Cricetulus griseus: one gene and its partners. The protein of the gene in region 1 interacts with the protein of each later gene in a pairwise test. Links are inferred from orthologs where the notes say so. Each region holds a gene or a part of one and is shown in the gene's direction. Other genes may lie near its edges.

The links.
Region 2: the proteins of Rhoj (region 1) and Pak1 interact in binary tests that used the Homo sapiens proteins (3 or more experiments, as listed by UniProt). The link is inferred for Cricetulus griseus from reciprocal best matches to the Homo sapiens genes RHOJ and PAK1.
Region 3: the proteins of Rhoj (region 1) and Pak2 interact in binary tests that used the Homo sapiens proteins (3 or more experiments, as listed by UniProt). The two-hybrid records come from large-scale screens. The link is inferred for Cricetulus griseus from reciprocal best matches to the Homo sapiens genes RHOJ and PAK2.
Region 4: the proteins of Rhoj (region 1) and Wasl interact in binary tests that used the Homo sapiens proteins (3 or more experiments, as listed by UniProt). The two-hybrid records come from large-scale screens. The link is inferred for Cricetulus griseus from reciprocal best matches to the Homo sapiens genes RHOJ and WASL.

The regions. Positions count from the first base shown.
Region 1 is NC_048598.1:128,167,184-128,175,657, reverse strand, and holds the start of Rhoj (rho-related GTP-binding protein RhoJ), read left to right. Parts: upstream 1-4,339; 5' UTR 4,340-5,134; coding exon 5,135-5,312; intron 5,313-8,474.
Region 2 is NC_048596.1:101,602,590-101,609,163, reverse strand, and holds the end of Pak1 (serine/threonine-protein kinase PAK 1), read left to right. Parts: intron 1-1,608; coding exon 1,609-1,746; intron 1,747-4,213; coding exon 4,214-4,300; 3' UTR 4,301-5,514; downstream 5,515-6,574. UniProt on the Homo sapiens protein: Protein kinase involved in intracellular signaling pathways downstream of integrins and receptor-type kinases that plays an important role in cytoskeleton dynamics, in cell adhesion, migration, proliferation, apoptosis, mitosis, and in vesicle-mediated transport processes.
Region 3 is NC_048597.1:57,418,486-57,426,808, forward strand, and holds the start of Pak2 (serine/threonine-protein kinase PAK 2), read left to right. Parts: upstream 1-4,143; 5' UTR 4,144-4,377; intron 4,378-4,706; exon of another isoform or gene 4,707-4,837; intron 4,838-8,323. UniProt on the Homo sapiens protein: Serine/threonine protein kinase that plays a role in a variety of different signaling pathways including cytoskeleton regulation, cell motility, cell cycle progression, apoptosis or proliferation.
Region 4 is NW_023276806.1:202,724,642-202,732,872, forward strand, and holds the start of Wasl (neural Wiskott-Aldrich syndrome protein), read left to right. Parts: upstream 1-3,840; 5' UTR 3,841-4,043; coding exon 4,044-4,151; intron 4,152-8,231. UniProt on the Homo sapiens protein: Regulates actin polymerization by stimulating the actin-nucleating activity of the Arp2/3 complex. Involved in various processes, such as mitosis and cytokinesis, via its role in the regulation of actin polymerization.

The DNA.
Region 1 (8,474 bases):
CAGAGGCTTCATGACATTCTCTGACACAGGTAAACTCTGATGCAGATGAATCCGAGACAGTCTGAGCCAACACCTGAGTCCACTCAGTAGAATCCATTTCCCCTGCAATTAGTGTCTTAACAGTAGGAGGGCTGGTAACCTGTGGGCACTCAAGAGTACATCATTTTGTGTTGAGTCAAAATAATTAAAATAATTCCCAATATACAGCACAGCCTGTTTATCCAGTTTTAGAGACCTGCCAAGTCCTCAGAAAAATACATTAACTCGTCTCTCTTTTGGATTATTTTTGTTTACTTTGCTAGTGTGTGCATGTTTACATGTATGCATATTCATATGTGTGGGCACGCATGCCTGTACATGAATATGACGGTCAGAAGTTGGCACTGAGTGGCTTCTTTGATCACTATCTTACACACTGAGGCGGAACCTCTCATTTGAATTCAGAGTTTGTGTTTGTTTGTTTGTTTGTTTTAACTAGCCAGTTTGCTCAGAGGCTCCCTGTCTCACCAACTGAGCTCTCTGGGCCCCCATGTCCACTGCCATTTACATGGATGCTGGGGATCAGAACTCTGGTCTGCATGCAGCAAGCACTTTGCCTCCCAAAGCCATCTCTCCAGCCTGTGTTGTTGAGGTTTGTTTTGGCTAGTTTAGGGTTTTTGTTGTCATTATTATTCATTTGTTGGTGTGGTTTTGTGTTTTTGGTTTTGTTTTCATTTTTGTTTTGAGACAGGGTCTCATTATGTAGCCCAACCTGGCCTCAGAGTGATGATCTTCCTGCCTCAGCCTTCCAAGTGTTAGGATTACAGGTATGTCACCTGACTTTCTGGAGAAAGGAAATTTGAATGACCCCCCTAATGTCTTGGTTAAACAGACCTCATCTCTCTTTAAGCAGACAGTAGTCCCACACACCCCTCATTTACCTAATTTCTCTTAAAATTAGGATATTAGGGGACAAAAGAAAAGTCCTCCAAATGTAAGAAGAAATACATTTCTGGAATTATAAAACAAAATGTCATACGCAAGAAAAGACAAGCCATGACATGGTATGTGACACTGGCAATAACTGGAAGCCGAATGCAGGCACTCAAAAGACGAAGAATACAGACACATGAGCACCCCAGATGGAGGTGACTCATCCCCCTTGGGAAGGGGCAGTTCCAGTCCAAGCTAGTCCTAGAACACTCTGTTCAGTGTTAGCATCCTAGCCGATCTTGAGGATATTTGGGTCAGAACCCTTAGAACTACATAATGTTGCCCTTCCCGTTCAAATCATCCCCATCAGTGCTGGAGACCAGTTTGCCTCTGGGAGGACTTCCTCAGGAAGGCAGATGACTCGTGGCTTCTGGGCATCCTTCAATCATAGCAACCATAGCACGCTGCACATTCCTAAGCCTGGAATCAAAACACTCTCCCACAGAAAGACTATCCCAGAGTAAGAATATCTGACCCAATTATGCCACTTCCCACTGCAGCATCTGGAGGGAAAACAGGGGAGAGAAGTCAAAGTTCTTTCTTCTATTAAAGCCACAGAAAAACTGGGACTTAATCAGATGAGTCAGAATTTATGTGAAATGTGTGTGTGTGTGTGTGTGTGTGTGTGTGTATTAAACTGACATTTACATAAACACCTGTGAAACTAAAGCACAGAAGACAGAAGTGAGCCAGGGAATTAAGGTCTCTTGGAAAAAAAAAAAATCACCCAGCAAGATTTCACTACGCGCTGTTAAGTTTGTATAAACTTGGTGATGGGGTAAACCAAATAATTGATGGCTATGTAACCACCAGTCAATCATCTACATGGCTCAAGACCCAAAAGCAAACATCTGCCTAAGAGCATGTTAGACAGAAATCTCCATACCGCTTCCAAACTCATACAGACAAACACTTAGACTGGGAGGACATTCTTGGTCTTTCAACCTGGGCCCACCATACATGGATCTATAGTTTCCTGGACATGTAAGAACAATGCTGAATTGTTCTTAAGATTCAGGTTTATGTTGGTTTTACTGTTATTGTTGCTGTTGGGGGGGTTGTTTTGTTTGAGACAGGATATGATTTATATAGCCCTGTCTGGCTTGGAGCCAGCTATATAGACCAGTTTGCCTTGAACTCCCAGAGATCCACCTCCTGAGTTTTAGACTTAAAGGACTGCCCCACCTGGCCTAACTTTCATACCAGTCTTGATGTTTAAAAGTTTTAATATTAAAAAATATTTTCACAGACAATGCACTTGATCATAAGGCTGAAATGCTAAGATTTTAACTTTTTGTTATTTTTAATAGAATGCCCAAAACTTTTTTCTATAATTATTAAATTTAGGGGAAATAATTGGTGATGAAAACAACTATATTGTGGGGAATATAACCAACATTCATTCTCTGGAGAGCTCTAAGCCATTTGGGTATGCCTTCCAACCTGGCAGAAGTACCAACCCATGGATTAAAGGTCACATAACTAGCTTCTTCAAGTGTCTTAAAGATCTACTTGACAACAAAAAAGTGGGCTTAACCATCTGTGTCTGGTGGTGCAAGATTTAGGTTACACACAGAAACAGCAAAATCTCACCTGAAGCCTTTACATAGGCCTAGTATTTATAGTGTGCATAGCTGACCAGGCTGGGAGCCATATTTCAGATCTCTGTGCATGGAGTGGCATTCCATCGTCACTGTGCAATCTCAGCCTAAAGGTCAAGGACAAGCCCTCACAGTTCTGCCAACCATCACCACATTGGCTCTAGTGATGCTGTTCACCTCCAGGCCAGTTTGTTGTTATTCTTGCTGTTGTTTGGGGTTTCTTTCGTTTGGTTTGGTTTGGTTTTTGTTGTTGTTTGTTTGTTTGTTCTGTTCCGTTCCGTTCCGTTCTGTTCTGTTCTGTTCTGTTTGCACTGCCAATCACTCCTTCATCTGCACAGGTTTGTTGGAATACCTCCATCATCCTCGAAAAGCCTTTTATGCAGAAGTATAATGTATGTTTCTAAATTACATTTTTATTCCACATACCCCAGGATCTCCAGAAAGACTAAATGAAAAGAAAATTCCGTCGGCTTACAGGCAGCCATGGAGGTCTTCAAATGCTTCTCCATGTGGTTTGATATGAAGCATTCATGTTCCATGACAGCCCCCAGAGTAAGTTATCTTTGGTTGTCATTCAGGCTGTTCATCAGCATGCAGTGCCTCCCTCCCAGCCCAGGGTAGGATGGTGCTCCTGACCCTTCTGCTGAGCCAGCTAGGCTGCTTCCTAGCCTTTTCTCCATGTCCATTTCCTTGCCTGCCATGGTGATCCATGTGTGTGTGGCTGTTCAATCAGTGCCAACCCTGAATAAAGAGGACAATGCTGTCCTGAAGAGATCCAAGGTAAGCAAACAAACAAACAAACGTGTCATTTTCCAAGTTACTGAGCTTTGGGGATTGTTTGTTATGGCAACATAACATCCCTAGCACTCTAGTCCTAAGTGAATTGTTATTCTTTCACAGAAAAGAAATGTTGGGGCACGGAGCATCACTGCAAATGCTACTCTAATCCAAAACAGAAGAAATGTGGGCTCTACTACATTGACAAGCATGCATATGATTTGTAGATACGTGGGTTATTGACAGGTACTTACTAAAGCTGATTTTTCTTCAACCCCGCCCTGGTAAAACTGCTCAACGCCATTGGATAATCTGCAATCTTCAAAATCTCATAGAAAAACAAAGTTCTTTGACTTGAACCCATTTGTCAAAATCATTTGCAGGGTCACATTTCGAAGACCAGGCCCGTTAATCAAATGAGGCTTCATTCTGAGGTACCAGACAAATTAGCTAACTGTTCTGCTCCTATGTCATTGAGGAGGGCCAGGCTGACCCGGGAGGTGATGATTCAAACAAAAAGGGAAACAGCCAAGCATAAACAACATTGGAGAACTCAAACCAAGCCAAAGGCAACACTGTATCCCTTCACTTCTGAGAGGTGAAGCCTGAGCCCAGCATATGCACAGTAAGAAAAATTTCAAATGCCCCATGTCTGGTTGGTTTCCTCTATGTAAAAACCTGAGGGGATTGGGGGGTGTGGTCTGGAATGCATGTCTAAGCATTGTGTCCAAACGGGGACTCATAAACTTGATCACATGTAGTATATCTACAACCTGCACAATCCCGTCGTCGTCGTCCCCCCCCCACCACACACACACACGTTCATTTGAAACAGTGTGACTGGAAGATTTTCTTCCTCAATGCAGAAAAGAATTGCTTGAGTTTCTTGTTTAAGTAAAGAGAAAAGTGTCGGTTTTCACTTTGCTTTGAACTGGTGAGTCAGGGAGCACTGGATGATGTCATATGTTAGCCTGCAAGCCCTGATGTGGTTCTCTCTGCTCTCAACTCAGTCCCGTCCCGTTTCCGTGGCAGACAGTACTCCCCGGGTTCCATCCTTTCTTCTTTGGCTTCTTCCCAGCCACAGGCTAGCAGCCTGGCTAGCAGGGCTTAAAACAGGAAGTCTGACCGCTTCGGCCGGCTACGGGACCCCGAGGGTTTTCCCACTGGGCGTCCTGGCCTGGTTCCCCAGAAGTACAAACACACGCACAGAGCCCCATTGTTGCCGCCTTCCCGGCCCACTGATCCTAATATGGAATGCAGCAGGAAACCCACGATTTCCTGACGCTTGGCAAGCTGGAGGAAGCGAGGGGGGAAACTCCGTTTAAAAGCCCTGCTCTCCTCCATGTTAGCTGTGTGCTGGAAAACCAGACAGGAGTTGTCCAAATCCCACCGTGTCATCATCAGCCAGGCTGGGACTGGGGAGGGCAGAGTGAGACTCTCACAGGCTGCTGAGATTTCTAGACTGCCAGGAAGTCCCGGGAAGTCTGTGGAAACGAGAGCGTCTTAACTCCAGCCATTGGAGGGAAAGGGACAGACCTTTTACATCCCTCCTCCCAAGAGCGTGTTACCTTTCTTCTCTCCCAGCATGGTGAGCGGCGGAGCTGGTGTGTGTCTAGGCTGCGCCTGGGAGATCCAGGCCAGCCACAGCCAGGCCGCCTGAGTTCCAGCCTGGAGCCGGTCCCACCGCTCCATGCGCTGCAGAAAACCCAGCCCCAGCCCCAGCCCCAGCAGCAGCAGCAGCAGCAGCAGCAGCAGCAGCAGCAGCAGCAACTGGAGCCGCCAACATGAGCTGCAGAGAAGGGACTGACAGCAGCTGTGGCTGCGGTGGGCGCGACGAGAACAGGATCCTCAAGTGCGTGGTGGTCGGGGACGGCGCGGTGGGGAAGACCTGCCTGCTGATGAGCTATGCCAACGACGCCTTCCCGGAGGAATACGTGCCCACTGTGTTTGACCACTACGCAGGTAGGAAAAAGTGGGGACCAACTTTTTCTACATGAGCAGTGGGGATGGGGGTACAGCCCAAGTTCAGAGGAGCCTAACTAACCCAGAAAGTCAGAGCCAGATGTGGACCTGGCGAGTACCAAGTTAACTCAAGCCGAGAATGTTGCTAGGATGGGGAGAACCTGTGCGTCAATTTACTTGGTACCGCCTTCCCACCTTGAGCAAATGTGTAAACCTGGAAAAATATCCTCCAGACCTCGGGGCCTGAAATTTTTCTCAACATTTTTGCCTAAACCTTCCTAAACTTTTCACAATGATCTTCTTCTTTTAAGTGTAGTGTAATTGCATAAATTTCCATTTAAAAAAAATCACCACTAGACACGTGGGAAGAATGCATTACTCCTTCAAGCTAGTCAGTCATAAATGAAAATGCTAAGGTAACCAGCCAATAAAACATTCTCCTTTTTTTCTGGATTACTGGAGGCTTAAATTTTGTCTTTCTCTCTTCTGGGGTGGTAGATGAGGAAGAAAGTGTCCCAAGCTTTTAGAATATTGAGTGGGAAGTTAAGTAAAAGATTGCTATGCTTTTACAAATAAAAATTCAAATGCAAATAAAATCATTTTTCCAGTATGTCCTGAAAAGACAAACTTGAGTATGAACTATTTTAAACCATGTTCCGATGCTGTCGTCACGCCTTAATTCTTTCAGGGGACTTTTAGTTTTTGAGTGTTCGATAACTTGTGAAAGTTCAGTCAGCACCCTGCCATGTTTCCCACATTAGCTGCGACCTGTAAGCTTCCCCTTATGGGAACTGATGTGTTTCTCTGAGCTCACCGTGGCCTCGGTTTTATAACATTTTTGGAACACAGCGATCACCAGTGAGTTATCAGGGACCTGGGGTCTGATGGGAGGAAAATTCCTCTCTCTTGGCCATGGCTCGGGATCAGATCAGTGTGAAGGAAGCCGCCCACAGGAAGCCAGCCTGAGTCTCTGCTCTTTGGCCATTTGAAATCCTCCTTCCTCCCTCCATAGGAAGTAGCCGCTTCTCCGTCCAGAGTACCATAGTCACCCCATCTCCCTTCCTTTTAAGTGTACATATTTGTAATAGTGGTATACAGTGCGCCCGGGAGAGATTCGCTGCTGGGGAGGGGGTCCATTTCCTAACAGGTTTTTTTTAGATTTGTAGAAATTACCTGAGCTTTTCTGAAAATAGTATGTCCAGGGAAGAACTTTTTAATGAGTATGGAACAAAGATAAAAACAGACTTTTCCTGGGGGGAGGTGGAGGAGATGTTGTAAAATATGGGGATCTGTACCTTGAGGAAGGGATTCTAATTCTGGTCCCGAAAACATTGTAGCAGAAGTTATTTCTCCTGTTATCTTCTTTATGGCAGAAAGGAAAATAGCTAGCACTTTATTTAAGTTGCTTTCTGCTCAAAGATGGAACTGAAAATCTACTAAAAGGAAAGTCTTCGAATGCCTGGGAAATTATGTCTCTGGATACCCATCCCTCGGGTGAGCCAATTACAATCCTATTGGCAAGCATCTTTGGCCATGAAGTTAGTCTATTAAAAAAAAAAATGAGGTCAAAACAGCTGGACTTTGCTAGCATGGAGTTATTTTATATTCCAATTATATTCACAATGACTAGGATTCGAGCACCAAAACCCCTCAAAGAAGTTTTACTGTTCGAGTTTTCATGGACTAAACTGTATTGTTTTAGTTCTCGAGGAATCACGGCCCCTAGACACAAAGCAGTTCTTTGCACACAGTAGGCATTCCTGAACACGGTCACTTCAGTTTATGCTACATACTTCTTCCGTATGTGATCATCTCATGTACTGTCCCTGTGGTTAAAAGGGGAGGAAAGGCATGAGCCACACTCACACCAGAGACTCAGGAAATGCTGGTTTCCATCCCAAAGACTCCACCCTGCTCTTCCTGCTCAGGCTATGCATCGGTCCCTAGGTGGCCATCAGGGAGCAAACCAACTCTAAAACAAGCAAAGGCCCCTTCCCCATCTGGATCCAGTTATCAGTTCCCTGGGTCCCACTGACCCACTCTGATATGACAACAGGAAACACAGCTGCCGTGTCTTTAGAAAAATGGCCTTGAAGTCAGGGATGGCCTGTCTCTTGAAGATGGCTCACTAACAACAGAGTGTGCATGTAATAGTAAGGAAAGTGTGCAGCAATATCACATGAGCCTCTTCTAATACTGTCTTTTCCACTTACTCTGTGGCCTTGAGAAAGTCACTTAACCTCTCTGTGCCTCTGTTCATAATGGTAACAACAGGGACAATAAAGGTGTTTGGATCGTTTTTAAAAGCAAAATGAATTCATGTGTGTAAAGTTCTTAGGGCCCAACACACAATGTGGGGTCAGGTATCATCTCAAGGTCTGTACACACAATGATGGAATTGAATGAAAATGTTATTGAACTAGGAACTACAATGGAGTACGGTGTAATTCCAAGAGTGTACTGTAATACAAGGACAAGGCGGGATAGAGCGCATGATTATCCTTATAAAATAGCTACCGTGGGGCTGAGGAGTGACAGCCCTGGCTACTGTAGTAAGTGGGATGTTAATGTAAGAGGTAGGATACCAGACTCGCATAAGTAATGGCAGAAGAAAGAAAAGGCTGGGGAAAAGTTGAAGTTTTATTACTACTAATTTATTTACCCATCTTTCCAAACTACCAGAATCCCAAAGTACACCAACTCCATGGTGGCTCTCCTGAGGACAACTCCTTGATCTGTGTCCAGTCTACTTCTCGAAATGTGTTTACATTTCTAGGGCACAGTCTGCACCATCCTGTCCTGATTTATGAGTTTCCTTAACTGCCACCCCCACCCCTCTCTGAGCTCTGGCTCTCCTTAAAGGAAGGTCATCCCTCACCACACACACACCCCACCCCCGGGTGTCTTGCCCTGTAGCTTTGATGGTTAGCTACTCTCCTTAAAATACATTCTTAGCTTGGTTTCTGGAACACCTCCTCCCTCACGGTTCTGTTCCATACCCTCAAACTCTCTCCACCTCCTCTGAGTCTCCCTCATTTCTCAGGGGCTGAGTGGTAACATAGTTCAGTGGTCAGTCCCTTGGTTCCCTTTTCTGGTTAGCCTCAGGACCCAGGTGTTAGAGTATCTAGTTTCACAGCTTAAGATAGCATTGATATGCTGCCA
Region 2 (6,574 bases), on another chromosome or scaffold:
CAGGAACAGGATGCTGAGAGCTTCTATCTGGAACCACACATGAACCACAAACTGCAAGTAAGAAAACCTTAAGCTCCACCTCCAGTGACATACTTCCTTCAGCAAGGCCTTAATGAGCAGTTAGTATAGTGATAGGGACAAATACCTAACTTGAATAAACCCATAAGAACAGAAAAGGAGGAAATTGAGATGGCATTTATAAATATTTTTCTCTTCCTATATGAATTTTGTTATGAAGGGTGACAGAGAAATGGAACAATGTCTTGTAGAGTTGGGAAGGGGTAGGCTAAAAGTTGTATGTTTGCTACTGGAAATGAATTAGTGAAGAGAACAAAATGGTCATTTGCAAGAGAGAAATAGCGACAGCAAGAACGATACATAAAATAAAGGGCATTCGAGTGTGGACATGTTTCTATTCTGTAATGGGAGAGGAAAGCAGAGTATGCAACAAAGATGCAAGGAAGGTGGTGATTTTGATTGTGGACAACTGTGAGGTTCTTTTGATTGCTTTTGTTTTCTCATTTAATCCATCCTCCAATCTAGTGCAGGAATTCCCCTGCAAGGGATATCTACCCTTAACTACATGTTCATATTGCCACCCTTGGATAGCTTTAGTTCCTGGAAAGTGCTTCATTATCTCAAAGTGAAGCTTTGTTTAGTTTCTACCCTTTGGCCCCAGCTTTGTTCTCTGACTTTGTTCTCTGACTCCACATGTACCACATCCTCTTCTGCCTGGGATATGAAAGTGATCAGTGTGATGTGATAGAAATAAGACTGGGATTACAGTGAGTACAGGCAAACAGTGAGTGCAACAGGTATATAGTCTTATGTGTGAAATTGGGATAGTCATTTTTGCCCTGTCTCTTACTCAGAGTTATTGTGGTCATTAAAAATGAGACCGTGCAGCTGGGTGTGGTAGCACATGCCTTTAATCCCAGCACTCAGGAGGTATAGACTGGTTGATCTCTGTGATTTTGAGGCTGGCCTGGTCTACAGAGTGAGTTCTAGGTCAGCCAGGGCTACACAGAGAAACCCTGTCTCAGAGAGAGAGAGAGAGAGCCTTGTAATTGAAGAGCTTGGTGTATAAAAACTTCTCGTTACTATGTTTTACTTCATTTCTCAAGAGTTGCTTCAAGTTAAGGGTAGGGAAGCAGCAAAAAAACAATTGCTGCCTAACAAAACATGCCTTTTTGTAATCCTATTGGGTGACTGAGTTCAGTGAAGGTGTCAGCAGCGTTTGGTGCCAGCAACTAAAGAGATGTTTAACTTACCATGCTAAGTGAGTAATAAACCCCTTGTATCTGTAATCAAGAAAAAGATTAAACCCTTAGATTTGTAACACCTTAGAAGTGTACAAAGTGCTTTCCAAATGCACTCTTTATTTTTGTGGATATATGAAGCATTGTTTTATTAGCAAAGAAGTTATATATTAGGTGTAGATACATGGCCATATGGCCTTGACATGTTAACCTTGATCCTTAGGTTAGTATATTCTCTGTGGAACATCAAAGCTGCCTCATTGTGTCCTAGAGCATACTGCAGCTGACCATATTTTTAGAGGACTTATCCCTCAGTGACAACAACATGGCTCTTCCTTTGTATTGCCAGGCCTTGTACCTCATTGCCACCAATGGGACCCCAGAGCTTCAAAACCCAGAGAAACTGTCGGCTATTTTTCGGGACTTTTTGAACCGCTGTCTTGAGATGGATGTGGAGAAGAGAGGTTCAGCTAAAGAACTACTGCAGGTAACTATCCTTCTGCAGCGAGGTGCCAAATCTTTGTACCTCATTTTTGCCTTTGAGGTTTCTTATTATAGGCTTCTCTCCTACTATCTCACTTTGTATTTATAGCTCCCTGGCCTTCCGTCTTGGGCCGGTGCTTAAATTTGTCCCTTAGTTTCTTCCTCAGTCTATTTAAATTTGTACACATTTTCCTTGGCTCAACTCAAAGTCTACTTTCTGAACTTCTCTTGAAGTTTTTTCTTTGTCTTTCAGGCATGTTTTATTTTGTCTGAATTTGCCTGTCAAAGTTGGGTCTTGAAAAGTGGCTCTCTGAGAAGTTTAATTTTGTATAAGTTATATTTTACTGGGATACATGTAAACAATGTAAAACCCAGCAGTCTGGGGTAGTGGTTCTCAACCTTCCTAATGCTTCATCCCTTTCATACAGTTCCTCATGTTGTGGTGACTCCCAGCCATAAAATTGTCTTGTTACTACTTCATAACTATAATTTTACTACTGTTATTAATTGTAATATAAATACCTGATATGTGGCCCCCAAGGGGTTCATGTCCCACAGGTTACAGAATTGGTTATTCCCATGTTTGCAGGTAAGGAAATTTACATGTAATAACTTTTGTATGATTATACAATTGACAAATAGAGGATACAGGGTTTCAGCATGTCTGTTTGCTTGCCAAGTATATATGCTTTTTGATCACTGCTTCTGAAGACTCAGAAAATGTCAGAGCTAGAAGGTTTATAGGACTTACTTAGTTTACTTTGTTGAGAGAAGTAAATGGAGGCTTCCTAGTTGAGTATTGGATGATACTGCTTTCTTACTTCAGAAGAGTTAGAAAAATAGGACCTCAACCCTAGCTTAACTTGTCAGTGTTATCTGGTAAATATTCAAAACCTAAACTTTTCAGAATCTTAAATCACGAAGTTTCACATCTGTTTCTTCTGTGAGAATACACATATGGACAGAAATACATAGGATGAGACAGAAGTAGATAGAATCCCAATATGGGATTCATAGCTTCAAGCTTTAACCAAGATCATTCATCGTTCTCAGTTCCTCTATATATCCTGTATCTGTCCCAATAAGAGTTGAATCAACTTTCAGCAAAGAATATATGTGTATATGTCTCTATGTATGTGTCTGTACACATATAAAATAATACTAATTAAAGTTATTATAAGCATGGTAGAAGAACCAGATATGTTAAATAATTATAAATATTTGATCAGAAAAAGAAATATAGCTCTGATATTTATATCAAATGGAAGAAACAGTCTATATCCTCAAGACAATTGCAAAACAAAAACCAAACAACCTACCGTTTCAGGTAAGAGGCTCTGTGTTACATAAAGAATTGTTTTCTATAACATTTTCATATTGTATTTTCTCTTATATGATTTATGTTTTTTTTAACTGGAAGTATGGCTCAAAGTCTATTTCTGTGAAAGTAGTTTTGGAAAGGACCAACTATTGAAATCTTTACTGGAACACTTAGCTTTGCTGGAGTCAAGGATTTAACAAAAGATTCTTAGCCAGGTATGTTTCATACTTATAGTCCTGGTTAATAGGCTGAGGCTGTAGTTTTATGACTAAATACTAGTGTTTTCTCCAGAAATAATAGTTACTCTGTTATTGAAATAGTTTAATTTTACCTAGGAACAAATATAATCATACAAAATGAACTCTTTGTCTTACTTGTTTCACTCAAAATGTCTATGGATTAGAGCTGGGTGTGGTGGTTTATGCCTTTAATCCCAGCAGAGGCAGGCAGATCTCTGTGAGTTTGAGGCCAGCGTGGTCTATAGAGTACATTCCAGGATAGCCAGGGCTGTTACATAGAGAAACCCTATCCCCCCCCCCAAAAAAAAAAACACAAAAAGTCTATGGATTCATCTTGCTTTCAGTGTGTCAATTACTGTGTTAAATTCTGTATAATGTCATATGAACATAAATCTATTAACCCTTCCTTTGGGTTTTTTTACAGGTATTAACTATTATAAGTAAAACTTATATACTTTGTCAGTGAGATAGCTTACTGAGTATGAGTAACTGCTGCCAAGACTGACAACCTGAGGTCAATTCCCCTGTACCTATATGGTGAAGGGAATTGATTTTTGCAAGTTGTTCTTGTGTGCGCGTGCGCGCACACACACACACGCACACACAGAGTAATATATATACATTTTTCCTTTAGTTTGAGAATGACCTGACATGGATGCCCTTATTGTCTTAAAATAGTTATAAGTGCCAAACCGTGGTGGCGCATGCCTTTGATCCCAGCACTCAGGAGGCAGAGGCAGGAGGATCAGTTCGAGGCCAGCCTGGTCTACAGATCGAGTGCCAGGACAGGCTCCAAAGCTACACAGAGAAACCCTGTCTTGAAAAAAAACAAGAACAAGAACAACAAAAAACCCAGCCAAAAAGGTTGTGAGAATGATAAATAATATTTGTTTTGCTTTTTCTTCTTCTAGCATCAGTTCCTAAAGATTGCCAAGCCCCTCTCCAGTCTCACTCCACTGATTGCTGCAGCAAAGGAAGCAACCAAGAACAGTCACTGAAACCACATCCACCCCAGATCATCGTGCCAAGCCTTCTATGAAAGAAACTACTCAATTCGGGAACTCCGATTCCTCATGTCCTCTTCCCCTTGCCTTGTTTCTCCCATTTCCTGATTTAGTGCTCTCAAGACTTTGATCCTTGGAAACCGTTTGTCTAGCACTGAAGAGAACTGCAACTGGATGACTGATCCAGCAATAGCCATTTCTAAATAGGAATTCCCTTCTAATCCATGGGCATGGGGGAGGTGACTTAATGAGCAAGGGTTTACCTGAATAAACCTGTTTCTACGAAACAGAAATCTCAACCATCCCATTCCTTACCCCTTACAATCAGTTCTTGACTACATAAATTTATGGTTTGATAGCATTATCAATTTGCAATCAGTTGAAATTTCTTTAGTGCTTTCTTTCTGTGACCAAATTGCCCAAACACCTCATTGTATTTGAAAACCATAACAGTTTAGAATGCCATGGGGCCTGATAATCTGCCAGGGACATGAAGTGGCTCTGTTGCCTGAACCATGACCTTGGTGCAGCTGATCCTGACATGGGAGAACTACCATGTTTTTCTTTGTGTGTGCTTCTAGCAGCTGTTTGGGAGAACCATGACCCAGTAGTGTTCCCTGTGCTATTTCTAGTGAAATGGTCTTAGCTATGTAGCAGCTTTTGATTCCCTGCATCCCCTAGGCTGCTGCCTGCATTCTGTTATAAATCTTATTTATAGCACTGAGAGATTTCCTAGAGCACATGCTGAGTAAGAGCAGTGTGAGAAGTCAGAGGAAAAGTGCAGCTACTTTTAGCATATGGCTGGGCTTCAGCACCTGGCCAGCTATACTTAGGTTATATTTCAAGACCTCAGCCTGTTTCTACCTGGAACAGGAGCTGAAAGATGAACTCATTTGGTAGCTTAACTATTTCAGTCAAAAGAAAAGGTCTCCAAATCTGAGATGATGTGCTACTAGTGATAAGGGTACCCTCTTTTTAAATGCATGACCAAGCTCTCTGCAAATGGACATGCTTCCTCTGGGTGTTGGGGATATTTGCTACCTCCTGCTTTCTTTGTGGTTTTGGTTCTTCCACTGTGGTAGGATGCTTGGCCAGCATTGTGGCTTGTCATGTCAGTGCCACTGACTACTTTGTCATGCTCAGAGGTACTGTTGCCTCAGCAGCACAAGTTTCTATTTCCTTCAATAAAAGGAAATGAAAATACGCCACATGGAGTGTCTTTTTTCCCCTCTCTTTTCTGTTTTTCCCCCTTTCTCATGAAATAATAATGATTCTTCATGAACCATTTGAAAGTAAGTTGTGGATAGGATACCCCTTTACCATTATTGACTTCCATTTGTTGTCTTTTCTTTCTAAAAATAGTTTTAGTTTAAATTTATACCAAAAAACTTAACAAAACCAAAACAAATAGCAACAACAACATGTGCGTTGTTTAAAGAATTATTGTAAACACACATGTATTTGGTGCCCATATAAAAAAGGGAACACTTCTAGTACCCTAGAACTGTCTCCATCTTGCAGTTCCCTTATTCCAGCCCCAACTCTGGGTGGTAACCACTGACATGCTTGGGTGAAATCATATGTGTTTATACTTTCACAATATACAAGTGTATTCCACAGTAGCTCATTCTGCCAGGTTGGTTTCCTCCTTCCCCCTCAAGACTTTTTAAGAACTATGTAGTTACATAAAGGTCTAGCCTAAGAACTGGGAGTGCTGAGGCTAGGCGGATCAATATTGTAGCATAGACTCAACTTTCAGTTGAAAGAGATAACTCTGAGACGGCCAAATGCAACAACAGTTGCTGTTGGTCTAAAGTTTAGGCATACCCTGGCTTGACTTTTCTGCTCAGGCTATCTGTCATCAGGGTACAGTCAGAATGTCTTGGAGCTGTGTTTCACACAATTATTGGAGTACTCTCCCAGGCTCACTGGTAGTTGGTAGAATTCATTTCCATCCTAGAGGGCAAACATCTAGAGCAGTGGTTCTCAGCCTTTCTAATGTTTCAACCCCTTAACACAGTTCCTTGTGTTGTGATGACCCCCAACCATAAAATTATTTTTATTGCTACTTCATAACTATAATTTGCTACAATTGCATATTATAAGTATCTTTGTTTTCAATGGTCTTAGGCAACCCTTGTGAAAGGGTTGTTTGACCCCCCAAGGGGTCAAAACAAGTTGAAAACAACTGTTCTAGAAGAAACAAGTAGCATATTGTAGCTGAAATCAATTGTATATGTTTCATTTTGGCTCACCCACAATATGTAT
Region 3 (8,323 bases), on another chromosome or scaffold:
CTTTCCACAATGCCACCCGAGCCCCGCCATCATGTGGGTGCTCAAAATAACACACAAGAGACTTATATTAGGTACAATGCTGCTGGCCAATGACTAGGATTTCTTATCTGCTAACTCAGTCTTAATTATCAACCATAACTACTAATCTATATATTTTATAAGACTTATCGAGGACACCAGCCTTAGCGTCCTCTCTTGCCAGCAATCACATGGTGACTCCACAGAGAAGAGAGGAGGGGGAAGATAGAGAGATTTCCTGCTTGTCCCTACTTATATTCTGAGTCTGCCTGCTATGTCACTTCCTGCCTGGATCACAAGACTTCTCTTTACTACATTTCCCAGAATCTTCTTCGACTCCTAGTCCTGCCTAACTTATTTCCCCATTGGCCAACAGTACTTTATTTATCAACCAATAAGACAAACATATACACAGAAGGACCTCCCCCATCAGAAGATAGTAACAAACATTTGGATGTTTATAAACACTATTTCCACTCTAGCAGATAAACTCAATAAATGTCATATAACCACTCCAAAAAAAAAAAAAAACCCAAAAAACAAAAGGTAATCCCATTTCAATGTCTCATTACTAATCCCATTGTTAATGCTTGTTCAGCATAGGCATAGTAGACTGAAGAGATGGCTCAGTGATTAAGAGCACTAGCTTTTCTTCCAGAGAACATGGGTTCAATTCCTAGCATCCAAATGGTAGCTCACAACTGTTTGCAACTCAAATTCCAGGGCACCAGACACCCTCGTACAGATGTACATGCAGGCAGAACACCAATGCACATAAATAAAAATCTAAAGAAAGAAACACACACACACACACACACAGACACACACACAATGACTTAGAGGTTAAGAGCACCTCTTCCAGAGGTCCTGAGTTCAATTCTCAGCAACCATATGGTGGCTCAAAACCATCTATAATGAGTCCTGGTGCCCTCTTCTGGTGTGCAGGCAGAACACTGTATACATAGTAAATAAATCTTTAAAAAAGATCAAATATAAACATGCATTTCAAATAAATATGAAATTCATATATATATAAGAAACAGAATCTTGTTATGTAGTCCAGACTATCCTCAAAATCCTGATCCTTTTTTTGACTTAGCACAGATTCCCTAGCACAGAACTAGTCAGGTGCTACCACGCAGTTTTTAAGTATAAAGTTAATATTTAAAATTGTGTCTTACTATATAATCCAGTCTTGTATTCACTTATACAGGTGTCAAGAAGTACAAGAAAATCATGTGACTGAACCAACACAAACTTTGATATGACTCTTATTGCCTGTTGAGTAGATGATGCTAATTTTGATATATGCACATGCCTTGGTTTGGCCTCCTTATATTATCTTCCTTTGATAGACACAAGTAGGTTTTATATTTCAGTCAGTTTTGTGTGTGGTCTTTTTTGTTTCAAGCCAAGAGAATGGATACTGCTCTCTTGTTCATTATGTCCTAGTATTTTTTCCACTTTTATGATTTATTTATCTTAAAGAATTTTGTTAGGTTCTTTTGGATGCAGAAAACAAAAAAACAGCTCATCTCAACTAGGGGTGGTGGTAGGGTGTGTATTAATGTTTATCTTAGTCATTTATCTATTTTGGAAAATATTGCATGCTTTAGGAACTAGAATGATCTTTTGCCTCACTAATGAATTGGAAGCTACTTATTTTGATAACCCATGTTCAATGCTAATTATATGGGATTTGAATTAAAGTAGCCAACATCTGTATCCCTCAAATATACATCCTGTGTTGCTAGCAGGTGGCTGAATGTAGGATTTGATCGACTACAAGAGAGTAAATGGTATGCACTAAGTACGCACTTCAGAATTGACCTAAGTAGTGATAGCACTGGTTAGTCATCTTATTTCTTGACGCTTTACCTTAATACATTCATCCCCCCGTCCCGCCTCAGGTGTCAAATAGCTCATCTGGCCTCCAACTCACTATGTAAACCTTGAACTCCTTCCTCTGCCTCCCAGGGGCTGGGATTTCCAGCTGGCATCACTATGCCTGGCATGAATTATATCTTTTCTAGATCTCTGTTGGCAACGTTTCTATTTTAGTTTGATGATTTAGCTACGGGTACATTTCTAAATTTAGTTACGTCCCTCAGTACTTTTAGGTTTTTATTCCATTACAGACTGTGACAGGGTGTCATGTTATAGTACAGGCAGGCCTCAGATCCACAGGTGTGAATCACTCTGCCCAGCTAAGAAATCTGGTGTGAATTCAACAGTTGCTCATCTGTGGAGAACCGTTTGGGTTTTTTTTTGTTTTTTGTTTTTTTTTTTTTTTTTCCTGTCACTTTATCTTTGGTATTCTGCAGCTTCCCTGCCATCTAAGTGGCTATCAAAACCCCTGAGATTTTCAAGGAAAGTTGGTATCTTAACTGAAACCAGCATGGCTTCCTTCACTCTGCTTTTCTCCTTGTTTGGGGCTGAGCTTGGGGTTTGGAGAACTACCAGAGAGAGGCATTCTTCTCTAGTGACAACTTAGCTATGTTTCTACTAGGATGTCACATTTTAGCAAATGCTTCTATGTTTGACAGTGAGAACACTTCGAGTTATCTTGTGTCTTTCTCTGCTCTTCATAGCAGTTTTTCTTGAAACAGAGCACAAACCACTACTGTTTTCTAGAATTTTTTGGATCACTCTCCCTAGTTCACTTCTCCCTCTCTCTCTCTTTTTTTTTTTTTTTTTTTTGGAAGTGGGGCAGGGTGCAGGTGTGGAGATCAGAGTTCTCTCCTACCATGTGGATGCTGAGGATCAAATTCAGGTGGGGAGTCTTGATGGAAACCCCATTACCTGCTAAGCTATCTAGTTGCCCCTCCCTCCTCCCTCCCTCCCTCCCTCCCTTGCACCCTCGCTCCCTCGCTCCCTCTCTCTTTCTTTTAAGGTGAGTTATTATATGTGATCTAGGCTGGTCTTGAACATTCCTGCCTCAGCCTCCTAAATACTGGGATTGCAGGTATGCAACATCACATCTGACAATCTAATGAGCTTAAAGGGTAAACCAGGTAACGTTACTTCTCTGCTTGAAATTGTTTAATGGCTTCTTGAAGTACACACTTCTTACAGCAATCCTGTCTGCTGTGAAGTTTGTTTGGCTTGGTTTTGTTTATTTTTTTGAAATGGGATCTTGGTTTATAGCCAGCCCCATCCTCAAATTCCTTATCTTACCTCAGTTATCCAGGTGCTGGAATTGCAGGTTTGCTCCATCATATGTATTGTACTCCAGTGTTTTCTAATATACCCAACTTGAACCAAACTGCAACTACACAGATCTCAGCCTTTAATGGCTGAGTCATCTCTCCATCCCTACATGAAGCTACGGACTGAACCCAGGACCTTGCACTTGCTAGGCAAGTGCTCTACCAGTGAGCTGGATCTCCAACCCTATGTGGGTCTTCTTAACTGACCATGGCATTCCTTTTCCTTCCTACCTGTAATCCTTGCCTCTGGGTGCTTCTGGCTTTCTCTTCCTGTTTTCACTTTAAATGTCACCTTCTCTGTCCAAAGTAATCTCCCTCGGTTTTTGCAGAGTAACAGATATCAATACTTTGATTATTCCGTTTTCATTCTTTACAAACTTTAAAAGGACGAGGTAAAGCATTTCCAACTTCAAATCCCTAGTACCTAAAGGTGTCCTTTATAGGCATTAGACACTGACGAAATTATAGAATAAGAATACTTAGATTAACTCCTCCGTTGATAAATACAGAGGTTTTTGTTTGAGAAGAGGGAGGACATAATTTAGCAGTATAATTTGATTTGTAGGTTTAAAAAAAAGCAAAGTGGTGAATGAATGAATTCTCAGAAACAAAGATCCTGTATACACAAACATATATGGATCAGATGTTCTCCGTCAGTATCTTCAGTAGGTAAAGCGTAACTGCAGACAATGCAAAATGATGAATTAAATGAGGGACAAGTTTTCTCTGTAATCCCAAAACGACCTCTGCGCCCCCCACCCACCCTCCCATCCCGCCAGCAGATGACTGGACTACGATTCCCAGCAGCCCTGTGCAGGCCCGCCCATCTGGAGTGACGCAGGGGAGGGGCGTGTCTTTACTTCAGGCCCTGCCCCGCGCCTCGCCGCCGCCCTCCCCCAGGGTTGTGGCCACGCGCAGCGGCAGCGGTTGTTCCGCTTCCCCTCCGGCCCGGGCCGTCGCCATTGCCGAAGGCTCCTGCCCTCCCCTCCCTGGCCCGCGGGGCTCCGCGCCTCACGGCCTCGGTAGCGACGGCCGCGCCCCGAGCCGCTCCCCTCTGCCCTGCCCTCCTCCCTCTCTGTCTCTCAGAGCAGCGCTCGCTCGCGTCGGCCCGGCAGCCCGCCCCGGGTCGGGCGGAGACCTTCCCTCTCTGGTAAGTGCGGACGCTCTCGATCGGGCCGGGCCGCCGCCCTCCTCCCGCCTCCGCGGCCTGGGCCCAGCTGCCCGGGACGCAGGCACCTGCGAGCGGGCCCTCGGCTCCGGGCGGTGGCTCATTGTCTGCGCCCGGGTTCTCCTCAGCTTCGACCGGGAGGAAGCTTGCCGGGCTGCGCGGACCGGCTGTGCCCGGCCCCAGTCCGGCCGCCCTCGCCCTTCTCTGCCGCGGGCGCTGCACCGGACGGCTCGGGTTTGTTCCTGGATGTTCCCCCCTCTACCAGCTGCGTTCGCTGCAGCCTTGGGGCTCCGGAATCCTGTCGCGAACCCCTTAGGTTCCGTCTGTAAGCTCTTCCTCATTCTCCACATCAGGAGAAAGTTTTGCAGGGCTCCGGGAGCCTCCGCTTGAGAACAGAACTTAAGGATCTTCTCACAGTTTTTGCTTGATCTTCAGCCAGGAGGTGAATATTTGCTTCTTAAGGTTAACTTGGACTGAGGTTGGCTTTTCACCATGTTTGGCTGTCTGAAACACGCGCGCCCTCACTCACAAAAACGTTGCCGCAAGTAACTTTGTGGACTCCAACCTTTTGATTAGTTCTTTAGAGATCAAGTCATCCAAGACAGCAGTGTGTAAAAATAATTGCCACTGTGGCTTGATGAGAGGCTCTTGCCATCCTCTATCTTAATTTTAATAGGAATAGATAGAGTGGGAGAGATTTGTTTCTTCTTTGGTAAGTAACTCCCATTGGTAGCGGCCAGGTTCTTCTTTACAAGTGACCTGTAGATTTTCTATCATTTCGTTTCTAACCTTTTTAAAAAGACAACCAAACCGGTTAGGCCCAAAATTAGACGGCCCACGACGAACTGTGTTTTGGATGAAGGTTGTGCACGTCACGTTTTTCCCCTGCTGTGTTTGACTCTTCCGCTCTTATAAGTAGGCAGGATATTGAAATAAATACACAAGAATTTGCTCTGGGGATTTTTTTTTTTGTAGTTATCCAAAAGAATAGCATGAATAAAATTAGGTCGGAGTGAAGGCAGTGAATAGTAATTTTTAAAGCAGGTTAGGGCATGTCAACTTTGCCAGAAGCCCTGTGGCATCTGTAGAACATTCTTGCCCATCTCTATCCCAGCTCTTCAAGGTGTGTGTGTGTCTGTATGTAAAACCCTTTTCATGTGGTTTTACACCGATCCTCTCTTTTTTTCCTCCCCCTGGACAGGGCTTCATTCCTGCTCAGTCTGGCTTGACACTTCCTTATGTGCCGGGATTGCACATGTGAACTAGCATATTTGGCAATCTCTGCCTTTAAGTCTTTCTGGAGATTAATTAGCCAAGAACACTATTGTACATTTACATTATGGAAACTGAATTTCATGCTGTTGTTTAGACAGCTAGGTAGGTAGACAGGTCTGTAGATAGATACTGAATTTCATGTTGTTGCTTGGATAGGTAGCTAAGTAGGTAGATACTCATTTTAAAGTAACTTTTCAATTTTGGTAAAAGAGGTTGACCTAAATTCAAAATGTTTCATTGTTTTCATTAGACTATTATCTTTCCCTCTACTAGGCTGTGGGGAAAGTTCTCAAGTACTGTCATTCTTCGGTACTGTCAATTGGTTAATGAGATGCCTTGAGATCAGCTTCTGCTATTTCTTTGTCTTTTTTAATCCCTTGGACTAGATTGCACCAAAGTCCTCCCTATGTCTCTAGGCAAGCACTCTCACTGAGTTACAACCCCAGCCCTTTTTAACTTTTTGAGACAGAGTCTCAGTTTTCTAGGCTGGTTTTCTCGTTGTCGATGAGGCAAGTCTTGAACTGGTGTTCTTTCTCTGTCTCAACCTTATCTGGGATCACACGCATGTGGAATTGTCTTGCGTCAGCTCCTAGTCACTGAGATTAGAGGTGTGTACCATTGTGTTGGTCAAGCAGACATTAAAAAAAAAAAAAAAAAAGAATTCTTGGGTATTTCACTTCTTGGGGCTATGATTCCAATTTTCGATCAGAGGAAAAAGATTAATTCTTCTGGACTTTGTGTTATATGATACTAACACTGCAAACCTAAATTCATGAAGTATGGTTTTTAGTTGATGTATGTCTGCCAAAGGAATGGGGTTCTAGTGTTTCTTTGATCTTTATGATAGGCAGATTGCCAAGTAGATATGTTGGGGTAGTTTATATTTCAGTTCAATTACATGTTTTAAATGAGGGAACTTAGAACTTGTTCTGGTTAGGTACGGATTAACTTTGAATTATACTTTCACAGAACCTAAGAGCTAGTATAAGTAGCCAAGTATAAAACAAGTAGGTATGGTTGAATGCTTACTATCTTTATCATTATTGGTTATTACAGTAATAATATTAAGTGTATATTTCTTTGGCTTTCTGAGTTTTCTGGTTTTGGTTTAAATTGGACTGGTTCGTCTTGAGACTAGTTCAGGTCTTTTCCCCTCAAGTGTTTCTGTTTACAGAATTAACTGATTCTTGTCTAATGAGAAGGAGGTTGTTACTTGCAAATTGTGCTTCTGAGTTCTTCTTTTATTTATTTATTTTTTTAATGGTCAGTGATGTTTTGATTGCATGTATGTCTGTGTGAGTGTGTCAGTAGTTCTGGAACTGGAGTTACAAACAGCTGTAATGAGCTGCCATATGGGTGCTGGGAATTGAACCTGGGTCTTCTAGAAGATCAGCCAGTGCTCTTAACTGCTGAGCCATCTCTCCAGCCCCTCCTTTTTAATTTTGAGGAATTGGATTTTATGTGTATGTGTGTTTTGCCTGCACATGTGTATATGCACCACCTGGAAGCCTATGAAGGCCAGTATAGAGGTCAGATCCTTGGAACTGGAGTTACAGACAGATAATTGAACACCAGTTCGCACTCAGTGCTTTTAACTGCTGAGCCATCCCTCCAGTCCCCATTGCTAACAGTCTTATTTAATAAGTTAGAAGTAAGCTTCTGGTGAGGGTGTGTGTTTTTTACTTGATTTAAATTCTTTTGTTTAGTGCTTCTGGGACAGTGTCTTCATAAATGTAGTCTGGTGGTCTTCTTTTTCTGAGCCATCCAAGTGCTAGCTAGGATTATAGATTGGGGAAAACTCTTGTATATTGATTTCCATATCAATAACCACAGTGGCCCCTCATCTCCAACAGTTATGAGTTACCCCATTATATAGTACTCCTACTATCTGTGCTCATTATGGTTTTCTAGTTCTGAGTGGGGAGAGCCTAATGCCTGTCCCTGTCGTGGAGTTTTGCACATGGGTGTGTTCATGTGCTTCCTCTAAGAAGATTAAATGTTTCTTATTTTATTTTTGTGTGTATTGTGGGGAGGGACATGTTAAGATCAGAGGACAACATGTGGGAGTCAGTTCTCTATGTTCTCTCCTTCCATGTGGGTTGTATCGAACTCAAGTCATCAGGCTTGGCAGCAGGCACCGTTTACCCACTGAACCCATCTTCATGACCAAGAGGATTTTTAAATTTTTATTTATTTATTGGCTTGGTTTTTCGAGACAGAAGATTTCTCTATTAAGCATGTTTCTTTGTGTAACAGCCCTGGCTGTCCTAGAGCTCACTCTGTACCAGACTGGCCCCAAACTCACAGAGCTCCATCTACCTCTGCCTGCTGGGATTAAAGGCGTGTGCCACCACCGCCTGGCTTGATTTTCAGGTGTTTCTCTTTCTGTCTTGTGGCGGTGAGGTAAGGGGAGAGAGGCTCTCAGATGTCTGTCTTTTGTTGTGTAGCTCAGACTGGCTTAGAATGCATCAACCTCTCATAGTGCTGGCATTCCAGACCTATGCTGTTACCACACTTGACTGCCTTTCAAGGTGGTTTGTGGTTGGTTGTTCAGGTCCTGAGGAATAAACTCAGGTGGTTTAAGTTTGGTTGCCTTTACCTGTGTTTTTTGCCCATCTCATTCTACATTTTGATGGTTGGTAAACTGACTTCT
Region 4 (8,231 bases), on another chromosome or scaffold:
AGGCAGCATGTCAGTGCCAGCAATTATGGCTGCAATGGCTGAATGCCATAGATCCCAGTGTGCTGCTATTACCCCATTCTCCCACAGAGAAGGGTGTCAGTACATTTGAAATTATTAACATTAGCCAGTGCAGTAGTGTGTTTCAGAAGACTTGTAAGAGTACATGCACACTGACATCTGCAAAGAGGAAAAATGGATAACTGAAGAACAGAGGAAGAAAAACGTGCCAAGTGTAGTTGTTGTAGCAGGGGAGACATCTGAAAATATGCCTTCACTTCCATAAATATGCTACTCCAAGGTTCTCTGACAAAATGAAGGGTTCACCTTAAAGGGTTATAGCCAAGCAAGACAGCAGAAAAGGAAGCACTAGAAGAAATTTTAGGTTAGGGACGGAAAACCACATGAAAGAAGTAAATGCAAGAGTTACTTTTTTATTTGTTCTATTTCTACACATTTTAATATAGCATATGTCTTTTACATGAAGATAAAACAACCCTACTCTTTTTAGACCAGCTAATAAAGTTCAAAACATGCAGTTGCAGGAGAAGCAAATGCTTATTTCCTGGACCAAATCCAGTATCTGCAACTGGGCAAAAAGAATTTGAGATAAGAAAATGGCTTGCCAAAGAAAACAATGAAAGCTGTCATGTGCCCTGCTAGAGAAGTTATGCTATCAAGAGTAAGTCCTGACTTGCTGGGCTTTTGGAAACAAATCTTGCTAATACTTCTTGATGTCAAGATGAATGTGGAAAAGAGTATAGTTTGTGTACTGTAAAGAGGAACTTGGCCAAGGCTTTATGCATATGTTCAAACGAGTAAGGAAGTCTCATCTCCAATGAAATGTTCACGCTTAAATTTTCATGTGTTAAGACTATCAAGGTATTGGGGAAAGTCCCGAGGAAAAAACAAAGTAGTGGAAATAAGAACTGAAGCTGTAATTTTGTGGACAAAGTACTATATTTGAAGATGTGTGGAAGACACAAAGCAATAACTTGGGATTGAGGAAAAAGCATTATGATCATCATTATTTTTAACCTTCAAGTCTAAAGAAAACAAACGGTGGTGAATGAAAGCTGTACTTAGGTAAGACATAAAGATTTCCTGAGAAGGAAAAAGGCAGACAATACAAACAGGAAACACCGGCTAGTAAAAGTGTGTGAAATGACTGGCACTCAATAGGTCTCTCGCATGTTCTGAGACACATACCTACAGCTTTTGTTTGTTTGTTTGTTTCCACAATTTTCTCTCACATCTGTTTTCAAAGCAGTTCACTGCTCTATGACACCTAGTATTTTTAGTTCAAAAACTGCTCTTTCTAATTTTGTGTACAATTTTAAATGAAAATAGATTTGCATCACTTTCTCCCTTCCCTTCCTCCAGCCCCTCCCAGGTATCTCCCCTCCAACCCCTCCCTTCCCACCCTCCTACTGACAGACACTCTCAAAATATTTTGCAATTGCTTTTTCTGGCCTGTTCATTTCTTTGTTGGTGAAGAGGATCGAATCCAGGACCTTGCACACATTAAGCAGGCATTCTCTGGGCTAGGTCCTAGCTTTTTGGATTTTACTAAATAACAGGCCTGTCTAGAATTATAGTATTAATTAACCATTTTGGTATTTGAGCATAATGGGATAAAACAACCTGTTTGGCAAAATATGTAGCCTGAAAAGAGATTATTCTCCCAACTCACTGACACAAATTTGAGAATTGTGTAAAGCTGTAAATACGAGTTTTTGAAGGATCAGGGTTACAAACAACAAATTCAAAAATATATTCTTCAATCCTTGATCCTTTACACCAGTGTTTCCCAACCTTCCTAATGCTGCAACTCTTTAATACTTTCTCATGTCATGGTGACCCCCCAACATAAAATTATTTCATTGCTACTTCATAACTCTAATTTTGCTACTATCATGAATCATAATGTAAATATCTGATACCTGTGGGGGCCAGGACCCTCAGGTTGAGAACCACTGCTCTACTCAAAGAACCAATTAACAGATCATAAGCAATGATGGCAAATGACAGGCAGGATTTGAGTGACCACTGAGTATCAGGTTATCTTACTTTACAGTTCTAAAGTAGGTGTTACTGTCCCAACTTCTACTATATTAACATTATGAAAGAGCAATTTCATTTTACAGATGAAGAAAGTGAGACAGAAAAGATCTAACAGGAACTTTAGCCTTGAACCAACTGCAGCCTATGTTTTTGGATACTAAAATTCACATCACGGCTGAATCATGTCCCAAGAATTTCTGATGATCTCAGTTGTCACTGTGCTTTGAGTTAATAAGAGGTGTATTTTTAATAAAACATAAACTGACATAAAGTGGTTTGCACCTCTACTTGTGCCTTTTTAAAGCCTAATTATCTTATAGTCTTCGCCACTTTTTTTGTCTTTGCCACTTTTAAAGATTGTCCCCTTAAAATTATGATTTGTTTAATTTGAAATATCTACATATTATGTGAGTACTCCTAAGAGTGTAAGATCTCATCTTCCTTTGTAGACTTCTTCCTGGTCACCTAATTTCACTATGGGGATTGTAGGCAGCCTGAAAACTTTTATATTTTCATTACTTTTGGTAATGGTTTACCAATGCATTGAGAGTTATCATGTCATAAAATTTTAATATGCAAGTGTTTAATTGAAACTGAATGATTGGAGAACATCGTTAGTACAATTTATGTGATAAAGTGTATCCTTAATTATCCTTAATGTGAAGAATGGTGAAATGTACATTTTATATAACTCGATGCAATCTGATTTATCATTTCTATACGCCCAAGTTTTTAAATACTGTTTTTTTTTTTTTAGTTTTCCATTCAACCGTATTATTTTATAATAACTTCTGATATTCTGAAACACAGTCATGAAGAATTCTCCGTATTGACTTGTGCTGGGAATGTAGATCAGTTGGCTGAGTGCACCCCAGGCCTAGGTCCCAGCAACTAGAAAAATTAACTCGAAAGGATAAAACAGGTAAGGCATAATCCTGTACAGGAATTCGAGACTGAGGACGATGGAGAGAGGGTTAGTTTCCAATTCACAAGATAAGAAAAAAAAAAAAAAAAGTGGCATTCGGGGCTCGTCGGAAAATTCGAGTGTAAATACTACACACACTTATCCCACGAGATCCGCCAGGCGGGGGGGGTGGGGTGGTGGACGTCTTTTGAAAGCGGGTCCGATTTTGACATCTATGAAGACGCCTCCCCTGATCCTGGCAAAGGTCTGTTCCTCCGCCCCCGCCCCGCCCCCAGTGGCAGCCTGTCGTGAGTTCGAGAACCGGGGGGCACCTGATGGAGGCTCCGCCCGCAACCACGCTGGCCGACCTTTGCAGCTAATCTAGACCTGCCAGGAGGCCTGAGAGTCCCACTTCGCTAAATGTCAAACCCTGGCCACCACTGGGGCGGGAGGACGCGCGGCCCGGTGCGCGCTGCGGTAAGGCGGTGCGCCGCCGGACTCTGCAGCCCCGCCTCGGTCCGACTCTGCGCACGCGCGAGGCGGCCCCGGTCCGGGCTGAGCGGGTGCGCGGGCCTCCGCTGGCTCCCGGAAGGGGGTGGGGCCTGCGCGGCCACGCCCCGGCTACCAGCAAGCGAGAGGAGGGGTGTCCGGCCGCGCCGCGTTTCCGGCGCGCTCCCCCGCGTCCCGCGTCCCGTGGTCTCGCCCGCCCCCGCTGCCATGTTGGATTGTGCGGCAGCCGCCGCCGCGCCGCCGCCGCAGAGGAGGAGGAGTCGCCGCGTTAGCCGCCGCCGCCGCCGCCGCGCCGCGGAGTGCGAGGACGACGACCATCCGGCCCGAGGCGAGCCGGGCGGGAGCCGGGAGCTTCCCTGTCGGCACGCAGTCCGCGCGCGCTCGCCCGCCGTCGGCTCCTTCCTTCCTTCCTTCCCTCGGCCTCCGCGCAGCGGAGGAGCGGCGGGATGCTGCGCCGCCTGTGAGCGCCGGCCCCGCGCCCCTGTCACCCCGAGCGGGACCGAGTGAGTGAGTGCTCGCCCACCTCCTGAGGAGACAGCCCTGGACGCGGCACCCCGCCGGCGACACCATGAGCTCGGGCCAGCAGCCTCCGCGGAGAGTCACCAACGTGGGCTCCCTGCTGCTCACCCCGCAGGAGAACGAGTCGCTCTTCTCCTTCCTCGGCAAGAAATGTGTGGTCAGTGAGCCGAGCGAGACCCCTGTCGCCACCCACCGCGTCCCCGGGCGGGCTCGGGCCGGGGCACTAGAGAGTTAGGAGGGAGAAGGGGGCGGGCGGGCGCGCGCGGCCGGGGTCCCGCCGCGGGCCAGGCCTCCAGCTCGCTCGCCCGGGCCCGGGTGCTGCCCCGGGTGCAGGCCGCCCTGCCCGGCCCTGCCCGGCCGGGAGCCGCCTCCCTGAGCTACTGGAGAACCAGGGAGTGTCACCTCTGCGGGCCTGCCCAGAAGTCCAAGTCGGGGTCCGCGCCCTTGCTGCAGGTTCAAACTTTACTCTAGACCACAAGGGAATTTTTCTGGGTGCATCAGTAGCTTCATCTCCCAACGGGAGCCCAGCCTTGCTTTACTTCCTACTTGTGGATCTGGGCTGTCTTCGTTAACAATGCTCGGGGCTTTAGGAGTGAATAGATGCGGGGAGGAGGGGAGAAGCGCGCATCGGCTTTATCGATCCCCCCTTTAGGATTCCGTGAGAAGGGTAAAGTGGAGTGCAGGTTCCCGGACACCGGCTCAGAGCGAGGAAGGGGCAGGAAATGCGCCTGCACCCCACTGCAAAGAAGCAGGGCTTATTTCCCCAGCGTTTGCGCCTAGGCCTAGTTTCTGCACTCCGCCCCACTGTTTTTTGTTTTATTTTGGTTTTTTGTTCTTTTTTTTTTTTTTCTTCCTTGCATTGGTAAGAGAGAGTGCTGCTCTCACCGCAGCCATGCATAGAGACGCCGCAGTTTCTACTAGTTCCTGGCCATTGGAGTCAAAAGTGATTCTGAGTTTGGTCCTGTGGGGCCAATCCCAACCCCAGATGGCGGATTGGGAGCGAGTAGTTCTGTGGGAAGGGGGAATGCCTGTTGTTGACGGAGGCATTCACGACTCGCTTCTGGGGCTGGAAGGCTCTCCCTGGTGAAGGCCTTATCTTGGTCTTACTGAGGTGACTCTTGAGTTGAAAGGGGGATTGTTAAAATACTGACTAGTCTCTTGCTAACACCCGCCGAGTGTGTGCCCCTGGAACCCAGGAAACACGCTGAGAAGTTTCAGCTGAGTAGGACCATTTTATATTTTTCCTTAGCAATGTTAGATATGTCAAACCAGACTACACCTGCTTAAGAAGTTAAGAGTAGACAGTTTCTGGAAAGTTACCAGCTTAATTGTTAACTTTATGAGCTTACTTTTTATATCTACTTCTGGACTTAAGATGTATTTCTTGTTCAAAAATTTAGACTTTAAAGAACACCAAGTCTACAACCAGAAGTAGTAAACAGTTTCAAGAAAGAAAGAAAGAAAGCTGGGGAGACAACTTTAAAAATGAAAGAAGTCCTTCCTGGTATATAGTATTTTAAACAAAAGAGAAAGTGGAGCCCTTGGCCCCAAGTCACAGTAATTTAGGAATGTAACTGGAACTCTATGTCTAGTCCCTTTGTACTTTCCACTACAGCATGTTGTTTCTTGAGGATTTTTCCCCCTTAATAATTTGGTTGTCAAAGTGGTGTTAAGGGAATAACTACTTCATTTTTACATAGAATGGATATCATTAAAATGTGAGTTTCTAAAAACAATGTTTTGCATATTTTCAGTTTGGGAAAGTCTCCAGCTTTTTTTTTTTTTTTTTAATGAGCTGCCTGCAAACAGGGCCAACTTTGTTGGTTTATTACATTTAGTGTACAATCTACCAAAAGTTAAGGAGCTTTCTGTGTTCACATACCAGACCCATGAATTCCAGGCATGGAGGACATTGCATGTATGTGCCTAGTGTACTCATTGCTCAGAGCTTAACTGTAGTGTTTACCCAGGGTTTCAAGGAAATGACAGACGTGGGAGTGTATTTTGATAGACAAAGATAGCATGGCTCACTGTAAGCATAAGTAGGTTGCTGAATTGGTTGCAAGCAGTCAGCGATGAATTTCTTTACGTCATATATTATTAATCAACTTTACCTTTTGAATTGTTGTAATTTAAAACCACATTGTTGTTGCCTTCTCTTGTAAGATGAAATTGTGAAAATTAAACTTTGGAGATTTTGGTTCAATCGAGAGCAATGTAAACTCAATGTTTTGGAATAATTTTTATAGACTTAGGCTCCCTTTTTTTTGTTTAAAACAACAGTGAAATGCATTGTCTCATAAATCAAGCAGTAGAGTTACAGGTCAGATCAAATGTAGTAAACTGATACATTCAGAGCTCAGTCTATGAAGTCAAGGCATGAAACTAGTTATACGGTGCCGGATTTTAAGCAAGTTCTTCATCCCTTGTTTCATCAAATAAACATGTATTGAGTAACTGAACGTTGAGGTCAAAAGTCAAGATTGATGCTTGCCCTCGGGGAGTTTAGTGTCTGATGAAGGAAACAACAAATAAACTGATGAATAAGTCAGTACTTAAGAAATAAATATGCAAGAGGCGCCTGTCACAAGCAGGATTCTAGGTCTGTAGTCAGGAGATGTGGGTGTGTAAGCTCAGAGCTTGGCTAAGCCCCTTCACTCTCCTGTTCTGTATTTGCTTTTCCTACCTGTTAGAGTGCTGTCAGATGGAGTGAGCGTGTTGGTTAGGAATATATACAGATGTCTGAAAACCTGTTATAAAAGGATGGGAACTCAGGGAGATGGATGGGAGAGTAGATAAATGAAAGCTTCATAGAATCAGCAATACCTTAATAATATTAACAGGTTGATAAAGGAAGTGCTTGTTAAATTAGGAAGCTTTGTTAGGGAACAGAGGTTTTACCTGCATCTTCACATGTATGTATATTGAAATCATGGTAGAAATTATTAGATGTGTGGTTAGTTGTATAATTTCTTGATAATTACATTTCTTGGTCTGAGGTAGAGCTTGATCTTCTGTTTTTATCAAGTTTTATGGGAAGATTCAAATGTGCACTACAGTTTGCAAGTAGAAGTCCATTTCTGATGGCTAATTCTAGATTTGTCACCTTGGTGACAATAGGCTTTCTTTTGATCGACTTTGTATTTGTGAGTTAAAGTTAGAACAGGTTCTTTTAGTATGGCATTCTTTGTCTTTCAAGATGTCAGATGTATTTCATAACCAAGAGGCAGATACAGAAAGAGAGAGAGAGAGAGAGAGAGAGAGAGAGAGAGAGAGAGAGAGAGTAGAGGGAGCACTATTAGTGGGAAGCACAGACCAGGTTTCACTTTGAGAGTGTATTTGGGGTTGGGTGGAAGCTATATAGAGGTGGACTGCTGGTGGTGAGATGGGTGACAAAGGAGATCCCATAGGTGTTTATGGGTGACCCCATACAACACTAAGGGGGGCTGAGTTAAAGCAGTTTGGGGGTAGAGGATTCAAGTATGATGAAAAAGATGCCCAGAATGACTAAGTCACACTGAGAAGCAGAAGGGGAGGGAATTGCAATGAAGGGAGACATTAATGAAGAGAGAAAAGTAGGTAGAAGCATACTTAATCTCATTAGCTGGAAGTGAATCTTAGACATCTACTGTTATGGTATCGTTTTAATAATTAGACTTCATGTAAATTAGGGTTTCATGTAAAGTTAAATGTACTATGTGAATATTATAACTTAACATTGGGTTAATAGTTCTGGTGGTATCACTATCTGGAGTATTGTCTCAAACTTAAAGAGCAAGATTTACTTATCGTTTTGACAAGGTTTCTATGTGCTTTGGCATCCCTGGAACTTGCTCTGTAGACCAGGCTGGTCTTGGAACTCAGAGAGACCTCCTGCCTCTGTCTCCTGAGTACTGGGATTAAAGGTAGTGTTTATTTACCACTGTGCCCAGCAGAATTCATTTACCTTATTATGAAGTTCTGTTGACTTTCAGGTAGAGTGATAGTTAACTTGTGTAATTTTTGCCATGTGGAGTTTAATATGTGTAGTCCCAAAAAAGTAGGGAGTAGGGAAAATAAAACCTGTAGTTAGTTCTATCCCGCCTTCTTTGTTCTGAATGGATTGAAGCTGGTGTGGATTGGCCATTTTTTTCCTGCCATACTCACCTATTTTATTTTTTGTTTTGTTTTGGTTTGGTTCTGTTTTGTATTGTTTTCACTTTTATTGATTCTTAGAATTTTTTATTAGTGTTTACAT